3 linked regions of the Macaca mulatta genome follow. The protein of the gene in region 1 purifies or fractionates together with the protein of each later gene. This does not show direct contact. Links are inferred from orthologs where the notes say so. Each region holds a gene or a part of one and is shown in the gene's direction. Other genes may lie near its edges. The genes, in order: protein tyrosine phosphatase type IVA 1, CNNM3 and CNNM1.

Region 1 (2,687 bases):
TTCCAGCTGGTTAGTGGTGAAATCGGGTTGGAAACCAGTCTGATACCTGATTATTTTACACTATTTCTCTTAACTTATAATAGGAGCATGTATTGCAGCTATTTTGAATTTGAATAGCAATTTATTTGAGGAAATAATTCTTCAAACTAATTAAGAATGCTATGCTAGTTTATGCTAAAGGAAAAATATCCATATTCTCCTTCAAAAGTTTTCCATTTTTTGGAGACATTATTTTAGAGTACAGCATAGTCTCTCTTCCTTTAATGCTTCTGTATTCATTCAGGTAAATACTACCCTCAGTTTTCTTCCTTCTCATTTTTAGGTTTTTCCCTTCCTTGATGGTTACATGACTTTAGTACAAATATATGTCTCACAAATTAGAACAGTGACTTATTGGCTCACAAAATGCTGCACCTTGTGATACCATTTGATAAAATATCTTTTATTTTAGATTGTTTTTATAAAGAAACGAGAGAAAACTAGAGGAAGAGCAAAGATGCTGGTTCTTTTCACACGCTACCCAGGGAATGATGGTACTGTCCTTTAAAATATTGCCACGCATCAACAAATTCTGGAATAGGCCTGAAACCAATCATTGTATCTCTGCTTAAATTCCAAACTACAGTGGCTTAAGAAGAGCGCTTAAGTTCTCCTATTTATAAATATTTGACTAAGATCCTTTAATCAATTTACAAGGAAGTTGTAAAAGGTAAAACCACTTTATGAACAGCCTGAAAATAAAACATTATTTTCATGCATTATATAACTCGTCTCATCACAGTGTTAAATAGGTTCTGCATTTTTTTCTAAATTAGTAAATGTCACAGGTGCTCTGAAAGATAGGCAGGAAGAAGGAATTACCTGCATTCTTATAAAAAAAAAAATAAAATACAGGTCTGGTGCCCCTGCCGCCTCCTGCAACGCCGCCACCGCCGCTCCGCCATGACCACCGCTGCCTCCTGCCCTGCAGCCGCCACCACCGCCTGTGTTGACGCCGCCTCGGGACTGGTTGTATGATTAGGCCACAATCTTCAATGAGTAAACATATTGCTCAATGCTGTGGTGTTCTTGGTCACACATTTATGGAGTTTCTGAAGGGCAGTGGAGATTACTGCCAGGCACAGCACGACCTCTATGCAGACAAGTGAACTGTAGAAACTGATTAATACTCCATCAAGAAGCCCACATAAGACTGGTTATCCTGGACACAGAAGTGTTGAATTGAAATCCACAGAGCATTTTACAAGAGTTCTGACCTGGATGGGGTAAACCTCAGTGCACTTCTTTTCTGGTGGCCTCAGTATTACTGGATTAAAGAATTGCTGCTGCTTGTTAGGAGGTTCATTTCATTTATCATTACTTACAACTTCATACTCAAGCACTGAGAATTTCAGTGGAGTATATTGAAGTAGACTTCAGTTTCTTTGCATCATTTCTGTATTCCAATTTTTAAAAAATTATTTCATAACCCTATTGAGTGTTTTTTAACTAAATTAACATGGCTGGAATGAACCGCCCAGCTCCTGTGGAAGTCACATACAAGAACATAAGATTTCTTATTACACACAATCCAACCAATGTGACCTTAAACAAATTTATAGAGGAACTTAAGAAGTATGGAGTTACCACAATAGTAAGAGTATGTGAAGCAACTTATGACATCACTCTTGTGGAGAAAGAAGGTATCCATGTTCTTGATTGGCCTTTTGATGATGGTGCACCACCATCCAACCAGATTGTTGATGACTGGTTAAGCCTTGTAAAAATTAAGTTTCGTGAAGAACCTGGTTGTTGTATTGCTGTTCACTGTGTGGCAGGCCTTGAGAGAGCTCCAGGACTTGTTGCCCTAGCATTAATTGAAGGTGGAATGAAATATGAAGATGCAGTACAATTCATAAAACAAAAGCAGCATGGAGCTTTTAACAGCAAGCAACTTTTGTATTTGGAGAAGTATCGTCCTAAAATGCGGCTGTGTTTCAAAGATTCCAATGGTCATAGAAACAACTGTTGCATTCAATAAAATTGGGGTGCCTAGTGCTATTGGAAGTGGAACTTGAGATAGAGCCTAATTTGTTATACATATTAGCCAACATGTTGGCTTAGTGAGTAAGTCTAGTGTAGCTTCCATAGGAGTATTGAAAGGCAGTTTTACCAGGCCACAAGCTAGACAGATTTGGCAAACTCTGTATTTGGGTTACAGTCAACCTATTTGGATACTTGGCAAAAGATTCTCGCTGTCAGCATATAAAATGTGCTTGTCATTTGTATCAGTTGACCTTTCCCAAAATCATGCAGTATTGAGTTATGACTTGTTTCTATTCCCATGCCAGAATCTTATCAATACATAAGAAATTGAGGAAGATTAGGTGCCAAAATACCCAGCACAATACTTGTATATTTTTAGTACCATACAGAACTAAAATCCCAGGAACTATGAACACTCTAGACCTTATGTGGTTTATTCCTTCAATCATTTCAAACATTGAAAATAGGGCTTACATGGTTATTTGCTCACTTGATGTTTACATCTCCCACACTCATACCAGTATACATCAGGTTTGCCTAACCATTGATTTTTTTTTTTTACCAAGTCTTACAGTGATTATTTAGTGTGTTTCTATAAATCTCACTTTGTGCTATTATTTAAAAAAACTCCATTTTGAAAATCTACATTTTACAGAAGCACA
Region 2 (3,655 bases), on another chromosome or scaffold:
CGTGGCGCTGCCCGTGGGGCAGCTGCTGGAGCTGGCAGCGCGGCCCGGGCGGCTGCGGGAACGGGTGCTGGAGCTGGCGCGCGGCGGCGGCGACCCCTACAGCGATCTCAGCAAGGGCGTGCTGCGCTGCCGGACCGTGGAGGACGTGCTCACGCCCCTCGAAGACTGCTTCATGCTGGACGCCAGCACCGTGCTGGACTTCGGCGTCCTGGCCAGCATCATGCAGAGCGGCCACACGCGCATCCCCGTGTACGAGGAGGAGCGCTCCAACATCGTGGACATGCTCTACCTCAAGGACTTGGCCTTCGTGGATCCTGAAGACTGCACGCCGCTCAGCACCATCACTCGTTTCTACAACCATCCGCTCCACTTCGTCTTCAACGACACCAAGCTGGACGCTGTCCTGGAGGAGTTCAAGCGAGGTAACATCCCGGGCATGGTGCAGGGGACGCCTGTGCCAGTGCCCTCTCCCTGAAAAGGGATGGAGAGTTATGAAAGCCTTCAGGAAAGGGTCCCACCCCCGTGGCGTGCGGTGAGACTTCTAAGGTCCCTTTTCAAGACGGTATTGGCCTTGCAGGTTGGAATCACCTTTTGAAATACTTAAAGGCCATCCATCAGAGTGGGAGAAATCCTTTAGACAGCGAACACTTTAACCCCCGCGTCAGGATGGCACCCCTATACATATCCTATTTGCAGGGAGGGGTATGTCCGCTTGGCTCTAATCCCCCAGCTCTTCCCCTTTCCCAGAGCGTTTCTGTGTGCTTGTCTTTGTAGCAGGTCCAAATGTTTGGCTAGAAACTAGAAGAACACAGAGAAGAGGGTAGTCTCCAGGTATCTGGGACGTTGTGGCCCGCACACATGTAATATCAAATTGACTGAACGTGTGATGTTTCCTTCAGAGCGTTCTTAAGGTCTCTGGCTTTACTGCAGATAAGGGTATTTAGGTGTCAATCTCTTATCTGCAGTAAAGCCAGGGAAACTTACACTTTGCTTCCCCCAAAAGTAACTCCACGGATGCTGACTTAGTCTCCCTTTCTCTCGGCTCTGTCGCCCAGGCTGGAGTGCAGTGGCGCGTTCTCGGTTCACTGCAACCTTCGCTTCCCAGGTTCAAGCAATTCTCCTGCCTCAGCCTTCCGGGTAGCTGGGACTACAGGTGCACGCCACCATGCCTGGCTAATTTTTGTATTTTTAGTAGAGACGGGGTTTCACCACGTTGGCCAGGCTGGTCTTGAACTCCTAACCAGGTAATCCACTTGCCTCACTCTCCCAAAGTGCTGGGATTGCAGGCGTGAGCCACTGTACCTGGCCTTTTTTTTTTGTTTGTTTTTGCTTTTTAATCTCCTGTATTTAAAAAATTTTATATAGAGACAGGGTGTCACTATTTTGCCCAGTCTGGTCTCAAACTCCTGGCCTCAAGTGATCCTCCCACCTTAGCCTCCCAAAGTGTTGGGATTACAGGCGTGAGCCACTGCACCCAGCCTAACCTACACTTTTCTATCTGTAAGGTTTCAAGTTCTCCCTTCACTCCACATTTTCATCCCTCCTTTCACTCTGTTTTATCTAAGCAGTTTGGAGATTGAAGGTAAAACCAATACTCCCCAGATGTGAAGGTGTGGTTTCCTCTGTAGTCCTCCCCAGCATCATCCTTAGGGGTGCTCCCCAGAGTTTGGTGCTCACACCTTGGCCAACAGCCATGCTTCTCACACCTGCACTCCTGTAGGGTGAGGGTGGGGGCACCCCAGGGTGGTGGATGGGCTTGACCCTAAAGGCTGTCTGCTCTGAGACCAAGAAGTGGCAAAGCCTCCTGGTATTTGTGGCAGGACGTCTCTGGCACTGTCTGTCAAGAGCCCCTGGCCTGTCGGTGCAGGAAGCCAGGCTTTGTGGTAATGACTGCTACTCCTGACTGAGCACTGCTATGTGCCAGGAGCTGATGGGCACTCTCTGTAATCTCGTCCCTTATTCCTTGCAGGAGGCCTGGGTGCTAAGTTACTGTCATTACTGTACCTCAGGAAGGGGTGGTGGGAGGCTTGGGTGGGCAGCTCTAACTATTCTCTTAGACTGTTGGGTGCTCCTGGCTGTGTCCCTAGAACATGGCCATGCCACCCTGCCCTGGGGAGGGAGCCTGGGCTTGGGTCCAGACAGAGCCTCGTGGTGGTAAGTACTCCATGTGGGCTGCCGGAGCCCGAGGCAGGGGTGGTTCTCCTGGTGTGGTGGCCAACAGTGCAACCCTGGACTCAACGGAGTAGGTTCCATCCTGCCCTTGCCTGCTCCCAGCCCCGGAAGGCTGCTCAGCCTCTTGTAGCGCAGGCTCCTCTGCTGCTAGTGATCAGAGTGGGTAAGTGCACCTGCGGCGGAGACTCATCAAGCACTTTGGCCAGTGCCTGGCATGCACGTGCTGTGTGCTTGGCGTTAGCAGGCTCTGCTGGTAGGTGAGCCGTTTGCCAGTCCGGGAGCAAGGGGTCAACCTGAAAGTGCAGATTTCCGTTTCTTCCAGGCAGGTCACCAGACTTCCTTCTTTTTAGGGAAAACGTGGAAGACTGTAGCTGTCCCTTTGGTGTTCTAAGCACTCACGTTTCTAGATTCTTTAAGAAAACGCTCGCTCTGGTGTCTGGCTTCAGCCAGCTGCTGCTTTCAACATTTGAGCAGTCCCCAAGCAGAGATTTGGGGCAGTGGAGATGGAAGGGTTGCCCCGTTCAGAACTAAAGGCGACTTCCGCAGTTGGTCGTGATGCTCAGGATGAGGCTGGTGAAAGTGGTCTTTCATTTTCCAAACCCTTAGGGTCAGGATCTTGGCTGCCGTGGTCTTGTCTTTCAGATGCGATGGATGAGCTTGGTCCAGGGTGGTTGGCGCTTCCACTTGGGGAAAAATCGAAAATGTTCATGTTCATTGGGAAGGAGCCTAGAGGCAGGATGTCCCCCCGCGGGGGGTGGGGGTAGGGTTGTGTGCTGTGTAAGGATCTTGGACTTGATCACCAGGGCCACGAGCATCAAGTAGCAGCATCAGTTTTTTTTTTTTTTTTTTTTTTTTGAGACAGAGTCTCGCTCTGTCGCCCAGGCTGGAGTGCAGTGGTGCAATCTCCGCTCACTGCAAGCTCCGCCGCCTCCCGGGTTCATGCCATTCTCCTGCCTCAGTCTCCCGAGAAGCTGGGACTACAGGTGCCCGCCACCACGCCCGGCTAATTTTTTTGTGTTTTAGTAGAGACGGGGTTTCACCATTTTCGCCAGGATGATCTCGATCTCCTGACCTCATGACCTGCCCGCCTCGGCCTCCCAAAGTGCTGGGATTATAGGCGTGAGCCACCGCGCCCGGCCAGCGTCAGTTATTTTTACAGATCAGTAATGATTGTGGAGACCAGCGGTGTGAGGGTTCCAGGTGAGAGGGGGTGATAACCTGAACAAGGTGCATGGCAGGCCTGGAGAGGAGCCCCAAGAGGGCAGCAGAGATGGAATTAGGAAGACTGGTGTCTGGCAGCGGGGCTGTGCAACAAGGAGCAGCAGCTGAGGATGAGGCCCAGATTTCTGACCGTGTGGTGGCGGTGCGCCTTCACTAAGGGCCAGGCATGGGGAGCAGGTTTTGGCCGTTGAATTTATGTCTGTGCAGTGTCCCAAGAGGCAAACTTCTAGCAGGCGGTTGATGTGAACTGCAAGCGGGAGGC
Region 3 (3,466 bases), about 9.2 Mb from region 1:
CATGTTATCTCATTATCTCTGGGCCTCTTTTATAAGATCAGAGAGGTTAACAATGTGGCCAGTGTATTCATTTGCCCATTGGCTGATTAAAAATGTATATATATTTGGCCAAGGCCTCCCAGCTTGAAAGTGGCAAAATTGGGACTTGAACTTTAGTTCTTGGCAGTATGTTTCCTGCCATATTTCTTAGGTGAAGGGACATTTGTCCTTTGACTAAAGTAGAAGCCAAATCTAAATAACTAAAGAACCCAAATAGAGTAAGATCAACTGCTTTACTGGGCTTACCGAGTGTCATTTAGGGAATTTTCCCGTCCTTTGGTGTTAGAGCCAAATTTCCTCATCTTTGGGGGAAATTTTGGAACCTGACTTCTCACTTCCCAACAGAGGGAGTGGCAAAAGTCACGTGTTCTCAACAAGCACATTGAATCGATTGAAGACTTTGGATAAATGCTAAGTGGAGACCTGTGGTTCCACGCCATAGAGCAAAGAACATACCATTTTGACCTAAAAAATATCAAAGCCAGTTGTTAACACTTTGCTGCTTTGTCCTTTAAAATCCTTCAGAGAAAAAAACCAAAACCTGAGTAGTACCTGTATCTGATTTTAACTAGGTCTTAAGTCAGCAGTTCTCAAAGTGTGATCTCCAGACTAGCAGCACCAGGAACACAGGAACTTGCTAAAAATGCAAATTCTCAGTCTCCACCCCAGACCTAGCAAATGAGAAACTCAGAGTTAAACCCAACAATCTTGTTTTAACAAGTCCTTCAGATAATTCTGATGCTGAGGTTTGAGAATCACTGATTTAAACCATCAATAGAAAACTCTATTTGCCCACCTGAATGGGCAGAAGTATGATTAGAAGCCTGGAATCTCTGTATATGTGTGTCCCATATGCTCTGCAAAAAGGCATGCATTCTTAACTGGTGTTTTATGATTAGATTAGTTGTGCTTAGAATTTGCTTGGTTCTCTTGCAAAATATCCTGAAGTTTGTTGAAGAAAGGATTGATCGTGTCCAGTAAAATAATGGGTCTTGTGAGTAGTTGACAAGGAGCCACTGTTGAGACCTTACCAGATACAAAGCCAACTTCAAGCCTACTCTCTGTCACAGTGTGTAAGCCTCAACCATCCCCCTCCTACTGCCAGCAGAAATCTTTCCTGTTTCAACATGTGATACCAATTCTGCCCCAAAGGAAAGAGAAGGCAAAATGAGCAGAATTTGTTCGTTCTCTAGCGCTAATGCAGTGAAGGGGGGATGAAAACGCTTTAGGAGATGCTATGATTGGGAAGGATATTATGCCACATACCATTTCCATTCTTCTCCCAGTGCCAGCCACTGATGAGCAGTTTCACATCCCTGTACAGGGTGGCACACTACCTAGTCTGTTTTCACTGCTAGCAAGGATTCACAGTGCCTGTCTGTGTTGTATACCCAGAGAACAGGGGTGACCGAGACACCTTCCTGCCTTTTAGAAGAGACATTTGATCTATATTTTTCCTGCCTGGAATCATGGAGACTCCTGTCTGGTCTGGCTGCAGCCTGACCCTCCAGATGCCTTCACTTGTGGCTGACGTTTGACACAGCAGGGAAATCACAAGTCTGACTCCTGTGATTTGAGGAGACAGCTGGGAGACCTCCCTGCTGTGGTCCCTGCCAACATAGGAGCATGACCCTACATCCAGGGATGGGCTTAGTCCAAATCAGAAATGCCTGTGTTCTCTCAGGCCCTAGCCTCCAGCTTCCCAACACTGAGACCTGGGGCATGAGAGCTTCGCTGCTGGAGTCCTACCTTATTCTCACCAAGTCACCCCCGACTGACCCTTTGGGCCTTTGGCAATAGTATAAATGTGTGTTTTAAACTTCTCCATGGACAACCACCCGGCTCTCTGAAGATGCCCTCCATCCTCTCCAGCGTCTCAGAAGGTTTGGTTCTTCCAGGTGCCAATAAAAAGGAACAGTGGGAGCTGGTGGCAGACCAGCAAAGGGCCCCTCACTGTCCCTGCTGGACTGCTACAGCGTGGGTAAGGCCCCCGTTGGTGGATCTCAGGCCTCAGAGGCCGAGGGTTCCAAGCACCCCAGCGAGGCTGCCCCCGAGCCTGGGAAGGCTGGCTGCATCCAGGAGGGCTCTGCCTAGCTGCTCCTAAGCTCCTGCCCTCTTCCTTCCAGATCACACGGCAGCAGTATCAGAACGCACTCACTGCCTGCCACATGGACAGCTCACCTCAGTCCCCTGACATGGAGGCCTTCACAGATGGGGACTCCACCAAGGCCCCCACAACCCGGGGCACACCCCAGACCCCTAAGGATGACCCCGCCATCACGCTCCTGAACAACAGGAACAGCCTGCCGTGTAAGTCAGCTGGGCAGACGGGCAGGCCGGGCTGGTGTGGGGTGAGGACGACCCTGCCTTCCTCTTCTAGCCCTGCCCAGGGCTCACACCACCTGAGCCCTGGGTCTTCTCCAAATCAGAGAGGTGATGCACGTGCTGTCCTCCCCAGGCAGCCGCTCAGATGGGCTGAGAAGCCCCGGCGAGGTAGTGTACCTGAGGATGGAGGAGCTGGCCTTCACCCAGGAAGAAATGACTGACTTCGAGGAGCACAGCACACAGCAGCTCACACTGTCTCCGGTAGCCGTTCCCACGACAGCAGGTCAGGGAGGCCGACTGGGCCTAGCAGAACAAGGGGGATCATCGCCTTTGGGTACTGGGATGGCCCGGGGAAAGCTGGCTGAGGGGAGCCCTGGGACCGCAGCCCCTGCGTTAAACCTCCAACCTCCTTACACAGCCAGGGAAAGGAAACATTTACTGAGCACCTACCATGCATCAGGCCCTGTCTGATTCATTCTCCCAGGAAAACTGTGTAGGGCAGTATTAGGAGTTGGGTTTCTGCCTGGATTCAGACCCTGGCTCCTTCATTTAGGAGTTATGCAATTTTAGGCAAGTTATTAAACCTAAGACTCAGTTTTTTTTGTCTGAATAGATAAGTATCCTTATGTTAATAGGTATAAATTATGACAGCTATCTTATAAAGTAGCTTTGAGCATAAATGAGATAATGTACATAAAAGGCATATCACAGTGTTCAGTACCATGCTTTATAAATGTTACGTAGCTATTATTAGGCCTACCTCACAGATTAGGAAACTGATTAGGAAACATTCTAACTAGCTGTGGCTTTGACCAAAGGTGTAGTCTATAGACTTTTCCTGAGGTCTCGGATCATATCACCTCCGAGACGCTGAACACTGCTGCCTTGACAGTGGTGTTGCTCTGAGCGCCCAGGGTCCCAGCAGTCCTGAGAAGCTTCTGTGTTTGCCTCTCTAAGATGTACTTCCCCAAGCTTTCAGTAGCCCCCTAAGCCTGCACCCAAGCCAGTAGTTCCCCTGCCAGACCTACTCCAATCCATAGTATAAGACTCAAGTCCAGAGCAACAACCTGAAAAAGTGCTCAAAGATTTTTAAAGTTGGCCT

The links.
Region 2: the proteins of protein tyrosine phosphatase type IVA 1 (region 1) and CNNM3 purify together in Homo sapiens (affinity purification with mass spectrometry; 6 studies listed by BioGRID and IntAct, with this or other methods). This does not show direct contact. The link is inferred for Macaca mulatta from reciprocal best matches to the Homo sapiens genes PTP4A1 and CNNM3.
Region 3: the proteins of protein tyrosine phosphatase type IVA 1 (region 1) and CNNM1 purify together in Homo sapiens (affinity purification with mass spectrometry; 4 studies listed by BioGRID and IntAct, with this or other methods). This does not show direct contact. The link is inferred for Macaca mulatta from reciprocal best matches to the Homo sapiens genes PTP4A1 and CNNM1.

What each region holds. Positions count from the first base shown.
Region 1 is NC_133414.1:120,657,232-120,659,918, forward strand, and holds protein tyrosine phosphatase type IVA 1, read left to right. Parts: upstream 1-1,153; 5' UTR 1,154-1,498; coding exon 1,499-2,020; 3' UTR 2,021-2,061; downstream 2,062-2,687. UniProt on the Homo sapiens protein: Protein tyrosine phosphatase which stimulates progression from G1 into S phase during mitosis. May play a role in the development and maintenance of differentiating epithelial tissues.
Region 2 is NC_133418.1:5,482,236-5,485,890, forward strand, and holds part of CNNM3 (metal transporter CNNM3), read left to right. Parts: coding exon 1-422; intron 423-3,655. UniProt on the Homo sapiens protein: Probable metal transporter.
Region 3 is NC_133414.1:111,448,641-111,452,106, forward strand, and holds the end of CNNM1 (metal transporter CNNM1), read left to right. Parts: intron 1-2,133; exon of another isoform or gene 2,134-2,165; coding exon 2,166-2,349; exon of another isoform or gene 2,350-2,390; intron 2,391-2,468; exon of another isoform or gene 2,469-2,497; coding exon 2,498-2,835; 3' UTR 2,836-2,909; downstream 2,910-3,466. UniProt on the Homo sapiens protein: Probable metal transporter.